Linked DNA regions of Oryza sativa Japonica Group. The protein of the gene in region 1 binds, or shares a complex with, the protein of each later gene. Links are inferred from orthologs where the notes say so. Each region holds a gene or a part of one and is shown in the gene's direction. Other genes may lie near its edges.

Evidence for each region.
Region 2: 50S ribosomal protein L24, chloroplastic (region 1) and large ribosomal subunit protein uL5c share a complex: the UniProt entries of both Arabidopsis thaliana proteins name them as parts of the 50S ribosomal subunit. The link is inferred for Oryza sativa Japonica Group from reciprocal best matches to the Arabidopsis thaliana genes RPL24 and AT4G01310.
Region 3: 50S ribosomal protein L24, chloroplastic (region 1) and large ribosomal subunit protein uL10c share a complex: the UniProt entries of both Arabidopsis thaliana proteins name them as parts of the 50S ribosomal subunit. The link is inferred for Oryza sativa Japonica Group from reciprocal best matches to the Arabidopsis thaliana genes RPL24 and EMB3136.
Region 4: 50S ribosomal protein L24, chloroplastic (region 1) and large ribosomal subunit protein bL9c share a complex: the UniProt entries of both Arabidopsis thaliana proteins name them as parts of the 50S ribosomal subunit. The link is inferred for Oryza sativa Japonica Group from reciprocal best matches to the Arabidopsis thaliana genes RPL24 and RPL9.

Annotation. Positions count from the first base shown.
Region 1 is NC_089040.1:29,338,627-29,342,685, reverse strand, and holds 50S ribosomal protein L24, chloroplastic, read left to right. Parts: upstream 1-1,353; 5' UTR 1,354-1,433; coding exon 1,434-1,556; intron 1,557-2,665; coding exon 2,666-2,704; intron 2,705-2,779; coding exon 2,780-3,007; intron 3,008-3,120; coding exon 3,121-3,303; 3' UTR 3,304-3,525; downstream 3,526-4,059. UniProt on the Arabidopsis thaliana protein: One of two assembly initiator proteins, it binds directly to the 5'-end of the 23S rRNA, where it nucleates assembly of the 50S subunit. Required for optimal plastid performance in terms of photosynthesis and growth.
Region 2 is NC_089037.1:1,440,962-1,444,633, reverse strand, and holds large ribosomal subunit protein uL5c, read left to right. Parts: upstream 1-1,450; 5' UTR 1,451-1,518; coding exon 1,519-1,821; intron 1,822-1,954; coding exon 1,955-2,155; intron 2,156-2,546; coding exon 2,547-2,882; 3' UTR 2,883-3,135; downstream 3,136-3,672. Other genes in the region: beta-carotene hydroxylase 2, chloroplastic, read left to right, coding at 76-165; probable polygalacturonase, read right to left, coding at 3,213-3,672. UniProt on the Arabidopsis thaliana protein: Binds 5S rRNA, forms part of the central protuberance of the 50S subunit.
Region 3 is NC_089037.1:9,831,842-9,834,611, reverse strand, and holds large ribosomal subunit protein uL10c, read left to right. Parts: upstream 1-1,386; 5' UTR 1,387-1,447; coding exon 1,448-2,110; 3' UTR 2,111-2,233; downstream 2,234-2,770. UniProt on the Arabidopsis thaliana protein: This protein binds directly to 23S ribosomal RNA.
Region 4 is NC_089036.1:35,818,822-35,823,031, reverse strand, and holds large ribosomal subunit protein bL9c, read left to right. Parts: upstream 1-1,373; 5' UTR 1,374-1,392; coding exon 1,393-1,515; intron 1,516-2,182; coding exon 2,183-2,310; intron 2,311-2,660; coding exon 2,661-2,706; intron 2,707-2,975; coding exon 2,976-3,073; intron 3,074-3,157; coding exon 3,158-3,205; intron 3,206-3,307; coding exon 3,308-3,428; 3' UTR 3,429-3,494; intron 3,495-3,610; 3' UTR 3,611-3,848; downstream 3,849-4,210. Other genes in the region: 4-coumarate--CoA ligase-like 3, read right to left, coding at 1-57. UniProt on the Arabidopsis thaliana protein: Binds to the 23S rRNA.

The DNA of each region.
Region 1 (4,059 bases):
CGAAATCTTCGGTCAAAAAGCTTGGAATTCATAGTATAACGACCACTGTCACTATGCTATTTGGTTTTAGGTAGAGAAACCAAGAGTTCTTCGATTCGAAATTAGGTTGGTTCCTCAACCTCCTCACATGGATCGGAAGGCTTCGATTCGAAGTCGTCCGATTCACATCGGTGCCATCTACCTACCCATCCCCATTCCCCACCGCCCACGCCCAACCCTATCAAATGAAACGCGAGATTGCAACCCCCCAAAGAGAAGAAAACGGCAGCGGAAATGGCGACGTCCCGATCCCCCACGCGGCGTGATGGGGAAGAACTCCTCAGGCGTACGCGCATCGGCAGCGTCGTCACCGCGAAAGCGCCCCCCAAAAGAGAGAGGAAATGGGTCCCAGAAAAGCGCAAAAGGGACGGAACTTGGGGGGTTGCTTGCCTCCGCAACTGTCGCTTGGCTTGCGCGCGTCGCCGGCGACGTCGAAGCCGCCGGAATCCGGGAGGCGCCACGCCTGGGCGCCCCCGCCGAAGCAGCATCTCGCGGCGCGTGGCGTGGTGATGATGCGTGTGGAGACGAAGCCACGCAACGCAACGAGGAAGACGACGAGCGTATGCTGGGCTGGGCCTTATCCGAAAACGGGTGTCGGCCCATATCAACCCAGGACGTTCGGCCCACGTTACTTGACCACAAACGGGATTGCGGACGACGAGCGGCCCACGACATTTGGGCCTTAACCGGATTGCTGACGTGCGTGATAGTAAGTCTATTTTGCCTCCCTCATGTTCTCTGCGAGTCAGCCTGCCACGTCAACAGGAACCACCCTACAAACCATCTAAGGGTTGATCTGCTACGGTTTTCGCTTATTCGAATCGTTTATTAGCAAATAAAAATTTATTTATGAGTAAAATGTTTATATATGTCCATAATAACTTAAAGCAAATGTTGTAAAATATAAGCATTTTAAAAAAACAAAAAAGCAAATTCAAAACTAAGTTCTCAAATTCAAATTTTGGCTCATAAATATAAGCATAACCAAACAATAAGACCGATTTTCCTCCATTTTGCGGTTGAGGGAGGTAATTCAATCAGGAGCAGAGATGAGAAATGTACAATAGATTTTATCTGTGTAGGTGCGACCTGTTCTTGTTGGGTCGAGACGGGATTGCGGCTTACGTGAGGCCCGCTATATTTGAGCCTGAACGGGATCGCGGCTGACTTGGGCCGTAAGGTCCGTTGTAGTTGGGCTGGATTACGATAGGCCTTTCATTAGGCCTTTATGAGTCTTACAAGTGGGCCAATCCATTCGGCCTAGAGGCCCATTTGTCATGTAGAAAAGCGCTCGCCATTATCCTGTCCGCGAGCACACGAAGGCGTTCGTTATCCTCTGCTGCTTCTCTGCGGTTTGAGCGAGCGAGGGAGGAAGAGGAGGGGAGGAGACGAAGATGGCCGGGGTGGCGGCGTTGCAGGGCGCGATGGCGTCCCTCTCCATCTCTGCGCCGGGGGCGGCGAGCACCAGCAGCTTCTGGGGCCACCCGCTCTCCACCTTCGCCGCCGCGCCGGCTGGGGTTTGTGCCGACTCCCAACCCTGATTCTCATTTTTCGCATTCCTTTATGTTTGCTCTGCTCTTATGATTCGCTGGAAAAGTAGAAATGCCAGCTTGCACTGAGATTTAGGATTTTAGAGCTCACCAACAGCGTGGCATTGCAATGGTGATGTCTACATCGCCTCACTGTACTGTTGTTGCCTTCAGGAGTTCAGGCTCAGGACCTCAACTAGCCAACAACCAACGTTGTGTCAAAATTTTGTGGTATATTTTTTTTAGAGAAAAGGTCTCAAGGATTTTGTGGTATAGTTGAACCTAGTTGGCTAGTATAAGGAGGGTTTATATGAATTAATGAATGCTTGAAATCTCAAGTTTGAGTATATCAACTGAGTGAATTCAGAAGTTAGAAATTGTGTTGTCTACCATGGGATGTGGCCTGTTATGTTTCAGTTTAAACTTGAATATTATTTTTTTCCTATGGTGGTATAAGCGATGGATACCCAATATTCAGCCTTTCAAGCAGAGGATTATTTTTCTGAAAGATGTGCCCTCTAGTGAGACAGACCATTTCTTGTTCTAACCTGCTGTATAGATCACATTTCGCTGGCTAGAAACAATTTTGCCTTTGAACTTTAAATTACTCAACAGTAGAAATTTCACAGAAGACTTCCATGGGAAAATGATGGAAACTCATTTCACTCGGGGATAGCCTGTAGCAAATGATTGGCACACTCGGTATACTTATCAGACTGAACTTGTTCTATCTTTTGTATATTCTTTTTGGCGTTCCTTAGCTCTTCTAGATAGTCTACTGCACTTCGTCCTCAGAATGAGACTCACTCACGACTAATTACTTACCTGGAAAGTGGTGATGAGAGAAAATAAGGCCGAATAATTGCTCTTGAATGGAGTGACTGAGCTATATATGGCACTTATATGATGAACTGTACTAAAATCTGCACTTATATGAAGAAACTCGTACTAAAAGATCATATGATTATCCTAGATATTCTTGCCTAAGAAACATCGTGAGCATGATTCATGTCATATCTCAAAAGCAGCTGATTATTACATTTTATGTCATTTTCATAAGAAACTCTGACAAGATATGCATAAATTTTTATATGCAGGTTAAATTTATGATCAAGACATGCCCAATTCAAATGAGGGTAAGTTTCAATTCTTTTTTGGTCTGCAGCTTGCTATTTACTCAAATGTCTGAAATTTCCCTTTTTCCAATGCAGCTTAAGCGATGGGAGAGGAAGAAGTGTAAACCAAACAGTCTTCCTGTCCTGCACAAGATGCATGTTAGGATTGGCGATACAGTACAAGTCATTGCAGGCCGTGAGAAAGGTAAAGTTGGAGAAGTTACGCGGCTTTTTAAGCACAACAGCACTGTAATAGTGAAGGACTTGAACTTGAAGTCCAAGCACAAGAAAGGAACAGAAGATGAACCGGGTGAAATCGTCATGGTCAGCATTGTTTCTCTTGAAACTTCTTTCTGTGCTGCTTCTAGCTAGTGTCGTATATATAGTTTCAGATGCCTGATCGTTAACCTATGGTTGTTGGTGTTTTCTTTGATCAGATTGAAGGCCCCATTCACAGCTCAAATGTGATGCTCTACTCAAAGGAAAAGAATGTGGCGAGTAGGGTTGGACACAAATTCCTTGAGGATGGAACGAAGGTTCGGTACCTGGTCAAGACTGGTGAAATAATTGACAGTGCTGAGAATTGGGTCAAGGTGTTCAAGGAAGGAAGTTCGGAGTGATCATGGTAGCATGGGAGTCCTGCACATTTTCTGAACTGCACTTTTTGTATGCCCAAATGAGTTGATGCTTTTCTAGATTCAGATTTCAGAGTCTTGTAAATTTCTATACAGTTGCCAACATTTTTTTGTATCCAATGACATGCTTGGCTTGTTAACCAGCTACTAGAATGGTTCAGCTACATTCGCTCATACAAATGATTTTGTAATGTTGTTGCTGTCCCCTGTCCTGAGCTATTATTCGCAACCATTGACTAATTTGGTCCATTTCCATATAGAAATATAGATGAGATGTACATATAAAACCCATGAATGATTGATAAGTTCTTTTTTTTAAGGAGTAGTAAGATAGGAGTATCATAAAAGAAACAAGCTTAGCAATTTTTTTTTTGAAACAACCCGCAGCGATGTTTCTATTGATATAGTAGGAAAAAAATACAAATATATAGTGCTAAAAGATAGCGATGTTTCTATTGATATAGTAGGAAAAAAAATACAAATATATAGTGCTAAAAGATTATAGTCAGAAAAAGGAAAAAACAAATCTGATTTGCCATTGATAACATGAAAGCTCAAGAGCTCGTGCTGACGGCTGAGAATCAACATAGCAGATATGGCACGCAAATATCAAATCCAGGTGATCGTAAGCAAACCACAGTTTTCTGCTTGCGTTTTGCTCCGCGAGGGAAACCTGACACCTGTCCAGATCCCATGAGACGAAGATGCAACCCATCAAGGTCACGAAAACAACGGGAAGTC
Region 2 (3,672 bases), on another chromosome or scaffold:
TATTACAAATATTTGTGATCGTCGGAAAAATTGTCTGAAATGTTCTAAAATGTCTCTGTTTTATGTGGTTGACAGGAGCTGGAGGAGGTGGGTGGGATTGAGGAGCTGGAGAAGGAGATCAAGAGGAGGATTAAGAGGAAAGAGACCTTAGATGCGATCCAATGAGAGCTACTTATCACACATTTTTTTCTTTTTATTTGCTGTCATCTCTTATTAGTTTTTGCTTCAGTGGCAATTGTAGCCTTGTAATATGCTTTTCTGTCCTGTTAATAGAAGAATAATTTAGATAGATATTTGGAAGCTCATTTGGACGGTGGAGCACACAGGTATTAGAAATGATGTGCTGGGGCTGAATGGCTGATGCTTTTGCTAGTACTGCTGGTAATGATATATATTAATCAGTACCATTCTGAATTTATTAGTCTGGTTGAGTCGTGCTGCTGACAGTGAGGTGTTCACTGATAAAATGTGTACTTTCTTTTATATTCTTTATTTGCCGACATTCTGTATCTCTTGTTCACGAGATGTGCCGGATGTAAATATGAAAGTGATGCATGGCTGATTACTTTTTGACCGTGAAGAAGAATTAATGAAGCTTATGCACACTAGGCGGTTCCTCCATACTGCTGAATGGCTGTTCATTAAGGCCCTGACAAGTGACAAGGTCACAGACTGACAGTTACTTCTTGAGGTCAAGGAGGTTAATGTAGTTTATCAGGATTAGGTTGCAAACTGACAAGGAAGATATTGTCCGTTGTGTTTCTACTCTTGGTGTCAAGTCGATCCTCACAGGATCACGGTCGTGGCATTGCTGGTCCTTGGTAGAACAAGGTAGGGCAAGCGCAATGTTGTGATCTGGGACCTTTCAAATCAGATCCTAGTGATTGTCCCCTGGTTATAAAGAACTGCATGTTACGGTTACTGCATGATTAGTTAGGCATAAGCATGTGACGAGGATCCTCGTCGTGATATTCCGTCCATTTTTCAATGTTGATCAAGCGTGGCAGATCTCCTGCTGATCTGCCAGCAACTGTTGCTAGGTTCAGAGTTTGCTTGATCTTGTTTAAGCTCTTCATCGGCGTTTTTTATGTTTGAAGTCATCGTTTAATGGCATACTACTACTATACTAGTGATGTCCTGTAGTGCATTAGAAAATACAGAATGGGCCACATACTCAAACACTGTTACCGGTTGACCAAAACAAGGCATATATCGAAATTCACACACTGCAGACTTGCAGTTGTTGACTCATGTAACTTTACCCTTCTCTTAGGCCGTGTTTAGTTCACCCCCAACTCAACGGTTTTGATGGGCCTAAGGCCCAAATCAACGGTTTTGATGGGCCTAAGGCCTGAAACCATGTCGAACAGTTCGATGGGCCGAACCATGACGAGAAAGCCCACCTGCGACACTGGACAGCAACGGCAGCCAGCCACAGCCAACTCGCCTTATCCCGTAATCCATCCATGGCATAAAGCTCCCTCCTCAGCTCCCACCTCCGTCTCCGCGCACGCTCCAATGGCGGCCACGGCTGTGACCCTGCCGTCCTCGCCGGCCCCCTTCCCCGTCACCACCACCGCCTCCTCCTCCCGTAACGTCCGCCTCCTCCTCCGCTCCCCGCCTCCTCGCCGAGCCCTCCGCGTCGCCGCCTCCGCCGCGGCCGACGCGCCACCCAAGCCGGCGCCGCCGCCGACCTCGCCTTCGGGCATCGTCCTCGTCGACCCCACCGAGGCACAGAAGGTGCACCGCCTCAAGGCTGTATACGACCAGAAGGTGGTCCCCCTCATCACCGAGGAGTTCGGCTACACCAATGTCCACCAGGTGTTCGACCTCTGTCTCCCTTCTCGCAATTATAGGATAGACATGGCCATTTCTTTGCGGAACTCGGGAAATTCGATTGTTGTTCAATAATTGAGCTTAGAGGAGTGTGTTTTGGATTCTCGATTTTATTCAGGTGCCCAAGGTTGAGAAGATTGTAGTGAATTGCGGGTTGGGGGCTGAAGCCGGTAACTCCAAGGGGCTCGAATCCGCCATGAAGGACCTCGCCATGATCACCGGCCAGTGGCCCGTCAAGACGAAGGCCAAGAAGTCCGTCGCCAGTTTCAAGATCCGCGAGGGGAACACCATTGGTATTGCCGTTACGCTCCGCGGCAGGGTGAGTCCTCTGTACCTCTGGCTACTTGCGATGCAGACATTGACAAATTGGGGACTGCAATGTTGTATCAATTTGGGATTTGCATGACAGTATAATAGCCTAAAGTATGTGTGAGAATTGCAATTACTCCATCCAGTTCCAAATTATTGTCACCGTTGGCCGTCAGTATTTTACATTGACCACAAATTTTAAATGGTTGGACGAACGAAAGTTTAATACCTATCTATGTGGAGTAACAACCTTTAATAATATGGCATATTTTTAGGTATATGCATTTTATTTTCTAAAAAATATAAGTGATCAAAGTTCAAATATGAATAGTATCCAGTGACAAGTATTTGGGAACCTAGGGAATATGTTTGATCGATGAGCTTATTTTGGCTTGCTGCAGGTAATGTTCAACTTCCTGGATAGGCTCATCAACCTTGGGCTTCCTAGGACCATGGACTTCCTTGGTGTCAACCCCAACAGCTTTGATGGCCATGGCAACTTCACCATAGGCCTTCGTGATCAGGGCGTGTTCCCGGAGATCCCGTACGAGGTCGGTGGGAAGAAGAATGGAATGGACGTCTGCATCGTCACCACCGCGAAGACCGACAACGAGGCTCTCAGGCTGCTCACCCTCCTTGGCATGCCGTTCGCGGAGCACATCAAGTCCTCCGTGGTGATCCGGAAGAAGAGGTTGAAGCGCCACCACTTCATGAGCAAGGGCAGGGGAAGACGGTGATTGCAAACCGCTGCCTAGGCACGTTGAGCTTTGCTTCTCACTTTGTCAATTGTCATTGTTTTTGCAAAGTTTCGTTTAGAAGTTTGATGATTTTGTTATCTTGTCACGTGCTGTATTTACTGTCAGAAGACAAAATGAAAAGGCTTTGCTTTGGTCAGGTCATTCGCAGATGAGCACTCATAAATGAATTGGGTGTAAAGAGATTATCCGGCAGCATTTTCAAACTGCTTAACTTTACTCACTAAACCACATCATATATATCTCTTTGGTCCCAAGCATCTCATAGCCCAGGCCATTACCCACACCATACTATCATCCTATATCAGTATTTCAGTAGCTACACGTTGGCAATTCAGGCGGACCGATGACGAGCTCTTCTTCAGGGAAGGCGCATGGCTTGCCCGCCGCCCCGAGCTCCGGGCACGGCACCGGCGAGACGTCGGAGGCGACACCCTTGACATCGGTGCAGTTCCATTGCAGCTTCTTGGCGTCCGGCGCGAGCTGCGCGGTGACGTTGGACATGCAGATGCCAGTGTAGGGGTCGTTGGGAATCCCCTCCATCCTGCCGGCCATGGTGACGTTCTCCGCGAACACGTCGCTGTAGTTGATGCCGGTGACCTCCGGCAGAGCGTTGGGGTCGGAGGAGTTGTCCGGGTGCTGGCCGTAGTTGCCGGTCATCCAGAACACCCACTTCATGGTGTGGAGGCTGAGGCCGCGGACGAACACGTCCTTGACGTAGCCGCCGCGCCCCACGCCGGACTTGATCCTGACGGCCGACTCGGTGTCGATG
Region 3 (2,770 bases), on another chromosome or scaffold:
GGGCAGCAGAGCTGCAGCAGAGCTAAAAGTGAATTTCACCCTGTACCAGACGTTCTTGTTTCCCTGCATCTTATTTCTTGGATTTCAGTACTACCAATGACATTATTATATGAACTATACACTTCCATTATCAAAACCATCATTTCATGTTAGGGATGGCTTGAAGTGCACACGAGTTATGGAGAGAATGGTAAGCATCGGATGTTTGGTTTTCTGTGAAATTGCGTTGAGCATGCTGAGTCCGGAACAACTCCGTGTTTACAGCATCAGAGCAGCTGCTGTTGCTTGATCGTCGCAGTTTATATCCTTTCCACCTGACATCCTTGCAATGTTTATATCCATTTTGATCGTCGTACAAGAGATTCGCATGGTTTTCTTACCTGTAAAAAAAAGTTTGAATTATATATATATATATATATATATATATATATATATATATATATATATATATATATATATATATATATATATATATATATATATATATATATATAGTGATGCATCTACAAATCGGGCGCTCGATTTTTTACAAAAATCAGGCATTGTTTCACTAAATAGATCGAAAATGTTTCAATATTTTTAAAAAAGCTGAAACACAACCAAATCACATCGTGAAATATTTTGTTACAACATATGAAACAACAGTTTCCAAAAAAAAATCAGGCATTGTTTCATCCTATATAAAAACAATATTTCAGCAAATAGCAAAGGATGTTTCAAATCATTGCAACATTTGATCATACATAGTGAAACATCACGAGTACACTTGCTAAAACATTGTTGGTGGAAAAAAAAATGAAACGGATTCCTTTAATAAAGTATTTCCTTAATGTGCGGGTGATTTGTTATAACGACGCGTGTGGTGGGGCACGTGGGGGGGGGGACAACGCATAAGGGGTGGGAGCGTGCGGGAGGCGGCGAGCGCCCGATTTTTCTACCGCTGATCGGGCGCCTAATCGCTGTCATTTTCTTATATAGTGATATCTATTGTGTTGAATAATTCAGTACACTGATGTATGTTATGTTTTATTGTACATATCAAGAGTTTTTGAACTCAAGAAAACAATAGTGATGTATGCTGTGTTGAACAAGGCAGTGAAGATTGGAGTTGTTGGTACACGACTTCACTCACTATGGTTTAAATTGACGTCTATGAATACCACACATACGCGTTTGCTCTATGCCTCTATTTTTTTTTATTTGGAACTCTTAATCTTATTTTCAACCGCTCATGGATCAAGATCGAACGGCTATAAATCCTCAAGCAAAGGTCAATCTCCACGGAAGCTTCTTTCTGTGCAGCTGACCGAGCTGAGTTCACCATCTTCTCAGGCACTGACGATACGGTCCCACATAATCCAGTGAGCCCCCCGCCTCATCTTCCCCACAGATAAGCTCTCCCACTCCACTCTTTCTCCCAACCCGCCATAGCTCCCGGCCTCCGAAGATGGAGACCTCCTCCTTCCTCCGCACCACCCTCCCCACCGCGAAGCCCCTCCCGGCGTTCCAGACCCTCGCACCCCGCCCCCGCCCCCGCCCGCTCCGCCGCTCCACCATCAGCGCGGCCATCACCCGAGGCCGCAAGGAGGACACGGTGGCCGCCGTCCGCGAGCAGCTGGAGGGCTGCTACCTCCTCGCCGGGATCCGCTACGAGGGCCTCACGGTGAAGCAGCTGCAGGGCATCCGCGACACCCTCCCGGAGACCTGCCGGCTGCTGGTGGCGAAGAACACGCTGGTGGGGAAGGCCATCGAGGGCACGCCGTGGGAGGCGCTCAAGCCGTGCATGAAGGGGATGAACGCGTGGCTGTTCGTCCACACCGAGGAGGTCCCCGCCGCGCTCAAGCCCTACCGCGCCTTCCAGAAGGAGGAGCGCCTCGAGGAGACCAACGACTTCGTCGGCGCGGTGTTCGAGGGCAAGTTCTACGCCCCCGGGGACTTCAAGGCGCTCGAGACAATGCCCAGCCGCGCCGAGGTGTACGCCAAGCTGCTCGGCTCGCTGCAGGGGCCCGCGACCTCCGTCGTCACCACGCTGCAGGCGCCGGCCAGGGACGTCGTCTCCGTGCTCTCGGCGTACGTGCGCAAGCTCGAGCAGGAGGTCGGCGCCGCCTGATGGCTGTTGAGAGATGGTTTTGTGGCTTCGTTTCTCTCATCTCACTCATTTCTTGTAGAATTCCTGTACTTTTACTGCCTCACGTTTGAATTGAATCACAAAAGTTTTACCTCTTACAACGCATGCCTACTGGTCTGATTTCATAAGATTACCGAGTTCTGATGTTATTAGGATTACGTTGCGTACTTAGAGGGAATGCTTGTTCCACAACTAGTGTTTTGATAATTTAATTTTACCTGTAGAGACTACAGAGATCAAAGTTTAGTAGGTTGAGGGGCAATGGCAATGCACAATTAGAATGGTCAATAACTACTAGTGCTTGTGTAGTTGTACCATCAATCAGTGTATCCAGGTTTACAACAAAGTTGTTCAAAGCAGTATGATGAGATGTTTTAAAATCATGAACTTAACTGTGCTCTTTTTGTTAAGAGCAAACCTCCTTGAAGTGAACAAAATTAAATGATTAATTCATCTTTTAGTAACAGAATAACACTAATTAGAGTTGGAAATTCTTCTGAATTAGCTTCTGAAACTTACTGTTGGTCACCAGCTCACCACATACCTAATTTGTATCATTTCTGTCTGAACGCGCAGTGGATCAAGAATAGAATTGGCAAAATTGATGATCACATGGTCACTTATTTGTTTGATACTGATTTC
Region 4 (4,210 bases), on another chromosome or scaffold:
CGCCGCGTCGCCGGCGGCGGCGGCGGCCGAGTACTCGGATTCCAAGATTTCCTCCATGGTATTGGTATCTCGATCTTTGGGTGTAACGATCGATGGAGAATTGGATTGGAGATGAAGCGAAGGTGGAAGAGGGTGTGAGGATTTTTAAAGTTTTGGCGCGCTAGCTAGCTTAGCTAGCTTCGTGGAGTCCGCTTGTTTGGTTTCTCCGATGGCGGGAAGGACGAAGTCATGGACGGCTGCATGACATGACGACGACGATGACATATACTCGATTATATACCCCTCTTCTCTTCGGTTTTCTCATCTCGTTGAGCAGTAGACATACTAATTCAATAAGATATATAATCGCCATTCTTTTTAAGAACGATTTGCTAGGTTTTTTTTTAATTTTTGTTCCTTTCGAGAAACAGGTCACCAGCTGGAGATCTTTGTCAGAAAAAGTACAACAAGATGATACTGGAGTATGATATACGAGGATGATATTTTGATGATACTCGTTGATAATTAAACAATGATACTTGATTATACTCTTTGATATTATTCATGAAGATACGGAGTATTTGCTAATACTCGTTCTTGCACATTGATACTTGATGATACTCGTTGATATTTGCTTATACTATTAATACACGTTTATACGTAATGGTAGCTAGTGATGTATCGTTGAGTTTCAAGATAGCACCAAAATAGTGTTATAATAATATATTTCTCGATTTATGTTATAACATGAATATTAGTGAAGGACCTAATATCAAATAATTAGAAGGGGTGAGGTTACGAATCCAGGTCATTTAGGCTATCACCTTGTGGAGCTAGCCGGAAGACCCCTGAGTGTTTCTCTTAATGTATGTTATAACATCTTGGCATCACATGTACTATCTATCTATCTTAGTAATATCGTCGAGGTATCACGTACATATATATCTCCTACCTTTCTCTATACGTTGAGTGGAAGGGGGTTACAATTTGGTGGATTATTATTACGACTTGTTTGGTATGAAACCATGCCAAAATATTGGCAATGCCAAATCTTGAGTAAATTTTGGTATTACTAAATTTTTGTTATTGTCTATTTGGCTTCACCTTATTGATTTAGCAAAATTTGACTCTAATTCAAATAGTTACGTGTTAACTATTCAAAGTTACCAAATAATTTATTTTTGACCTTTAAGTTATCAAAGAATTAGTAAGGCAAGAAGGAGCGCCAAACCAAAATGACCCTTAATCTTCAAGCCCATGACAACCCCGAAGAAAACCTTTGATACTGGGCCGATTTGAAAGGCCCAAAGCAGCGCAAAGCCCAAGAGAGAGGGCACCAAATCCGTTGGGGAAGTGGATAAGAGAGCAGCAGCCGCAGTTCCTTCCCTTCCCCCGCAATCCATCCCCAACGCCATGGCCTCCACGCTCGCCTGGAGCTCCGCCGCCTCCTCCTCCGCCCCCTCCTCCCGCCTCCCGCCGCGCCGCTCCCCGTCGCTGGTCGTCGTCGCCCAGGGCAAGGTCAAGAAGTATCGCCAGGTTTGGCTTCCACTTGTATTTTCTCTCCACAGTTGCAGCATGTATGTATGTATGTATTTAATTGCGATTCGTTCGAGCTAAGCAGTACTAGTACTGACTGATTGAACAAGCTGTTGCTGGTGATGCTTTTGTTTTGCCTCTTTTAGAACTAGCCATACCCAATGTACTGTCTGTCACCACCCTGTCCACTAATCAGTACAGTAGATTACAAAGCGCATGCGACTGCATTCCATCGATCGAAAAATTCGAAATGCAGCAGCTGTAAGCTTAAGATTACTGTGTGCATTCACACATCTGAGTATAGGAAAAGATACATTGCCATGGACGCATGCTCTGATGCAGTACATGGAAATGGAAGAAACTATCGTCATGTTTTTAATTAGGTGCCTCTTAGCATTGCAACTCAGATGCAAAAGTCATCTCTAATATGATTCTGTATATGCCCCGGAACGCCGGAATTGTTGGTTTGGCCATGCTGTTTGTTTGTAGGGAAAGTTGCAACTAAAAGGCATCTAGATACACCCAGTTCAAAATTTGCACCTGTAAACTGTAAAATGTTCCAAGCCTATGTCATCATCTTCCTTGTCTATTATGCATTTCTATACTTTAGCATGTAATGCACGATTCCGTATTTGATTTACTTCACTTGAGTTTCTTTTTCTCCCAGGTCATACTGACAGATGACATAGCAGAGGTGGGGAAGAAAGGGGACACGCTTAAAGTGAGGGCCGGGTTCTACCGCAACTTCCTTCTGCCAAAGGGCAAGGCAACGCTGCTCACCCCAGAAGTACTCAAGTAATCTTCTGTCTTACAGTCATTTACCACATCTCACGAATTGTATAGGCTATGTTTCAACCAACAGATAGGTGCTCCTAGTAAATTAATTGACGTATGCTTATGTTTCATCGTAGTTGGTTTTCACAGTATGCTGCAGGTGTAAATTTGCAGCTATTTATTCTGTTGTGTTAGCCATTGTATCTCTTGCCTCCTTGTGGAGCCCAGGATTGACATATAAATCTGCAAACTTTTATAGATGCCTATTCTGCATTTCTAGTTCAGTTCTTCTGGGGTGTTCAACATGTTCAATTAGTTCTTGTAAAAGGATGGCTAGTAAGCTACTTAATTTCCTCTGCTGCTGTCTACAGGGAAATGCAAGTAGAACAGGAGAGGATAGATGCTGAAAAGAAGCGGGTAAGTAAACCTATTATTCTATTTGTGGACTCAGTAAGAATTGATATAGTTGAAACTTATTCCTATTTGTTCCTGTCTGTCTAAAAACTACTGTGGTAGTTATACCCTACTAATCCTTGTTCTCCAGGGTACGTAGTTGTGGTTTAGCTTATTTTGTAAAAAGTCTAAAGCATGATTTGTTCCTACCAATATCATTTTCCATAAGAGTATAAGAACTTTCATCCAGTGTTAGCATAATCTTACCCTGTTGAGCATTTGTGCTTGAGTAGGTAAAAGAAGAGGCACAGCAACTTGCCCGTGTTTTTGAAACTATTGGGGCATTCAAAGTGCCACGTAAAGGTGGGAAAGGAAAACAGATATTTGGGAGGCAAGTTTTTATCGAGTAGATAGTTCTTTATGTATCGTCTTATTTTACTTGCACTTAATAACAAGTTTTTCTTCTATTCTACAGCGTCACAGCACAAGATCTTGTTGACATCATAAAGTCACAACTTAATAGGTATGCCCTTCTAAGTGCACTGACAATCACTACCTTTTAAGGAAGGATTGCGATGCTCTATTTGCTGCTGTTGCTTTGCTTACCGGAAACTATTTCATGTAGGGATGTCGACAAGCGTCTCGTGACAGTGCCAGAAATTCGTGAAATTGGGGAATACATTGCAGAGATTAAGCTTCACCCTGAAGTCACAGCTCAAGTAAGGCTGACCGTATATGCGAAATAAGCCCTGAAGCTGCTTGATTGAATCTTTAGTGGATGGTGGGCTTTGGATGAATTCTGATTTCACCAGGTAAGCTCATCTGCAAGGCATTCCATTGTTCCTTACCTTTTGCTCCGTTCTTAAGCTGTCATATACATTTCGTCAATTGTGTTAGCAGCTGAATTCATGCAATGATTTACTTGCAGAGATTTTTGCTGAAACTCCAAGGTGCAGTGTCACATCACGGGGCTTGGTCTTTACACATTGCCACTGTCCATCCTACCTGTAAAGTCAGTTTCTTGCACCTTTTTTTTTTTGACAAATTTATTTGTGTTAATGTTATGGGGTTAAATGGGCATGATGTAAACAACAAAGGGTTCAGAGTCTAGAGCAACTGATACTTGTCTTGTAATCTTGTTTAAAGGTGCACGTTCTTTATAGTCATATAGTTTGATAGAGCTACTACAATATTTGGGTTGGGTGGGCCAAAATGGCACGTAGGCAGTCTGGTGGTCGTAGGTTGGGCCGCTTGGTCGCTGTATTATTAGGCCCAAACATAGGGATTTCAACACATTTTTTAATGAAAACTTTCATCTGAAAAAACCTTCGTTTGGAAACTTCCATCCAGAAACTTTTCATCTGAAACTTTGACACGGACTTTATATGCCAAAAGTGTGTGCCGCGGGCAAAGCTGAGCTAATTAGTCATCCTGTTAGTACATAAACTATTTGGGTTAGATTTGTTTGTGGGTGAGGGTGGAAAAAGTTAGGGAAGTGGTTTGGAAATTGGAATGCAGATGGTGGAGC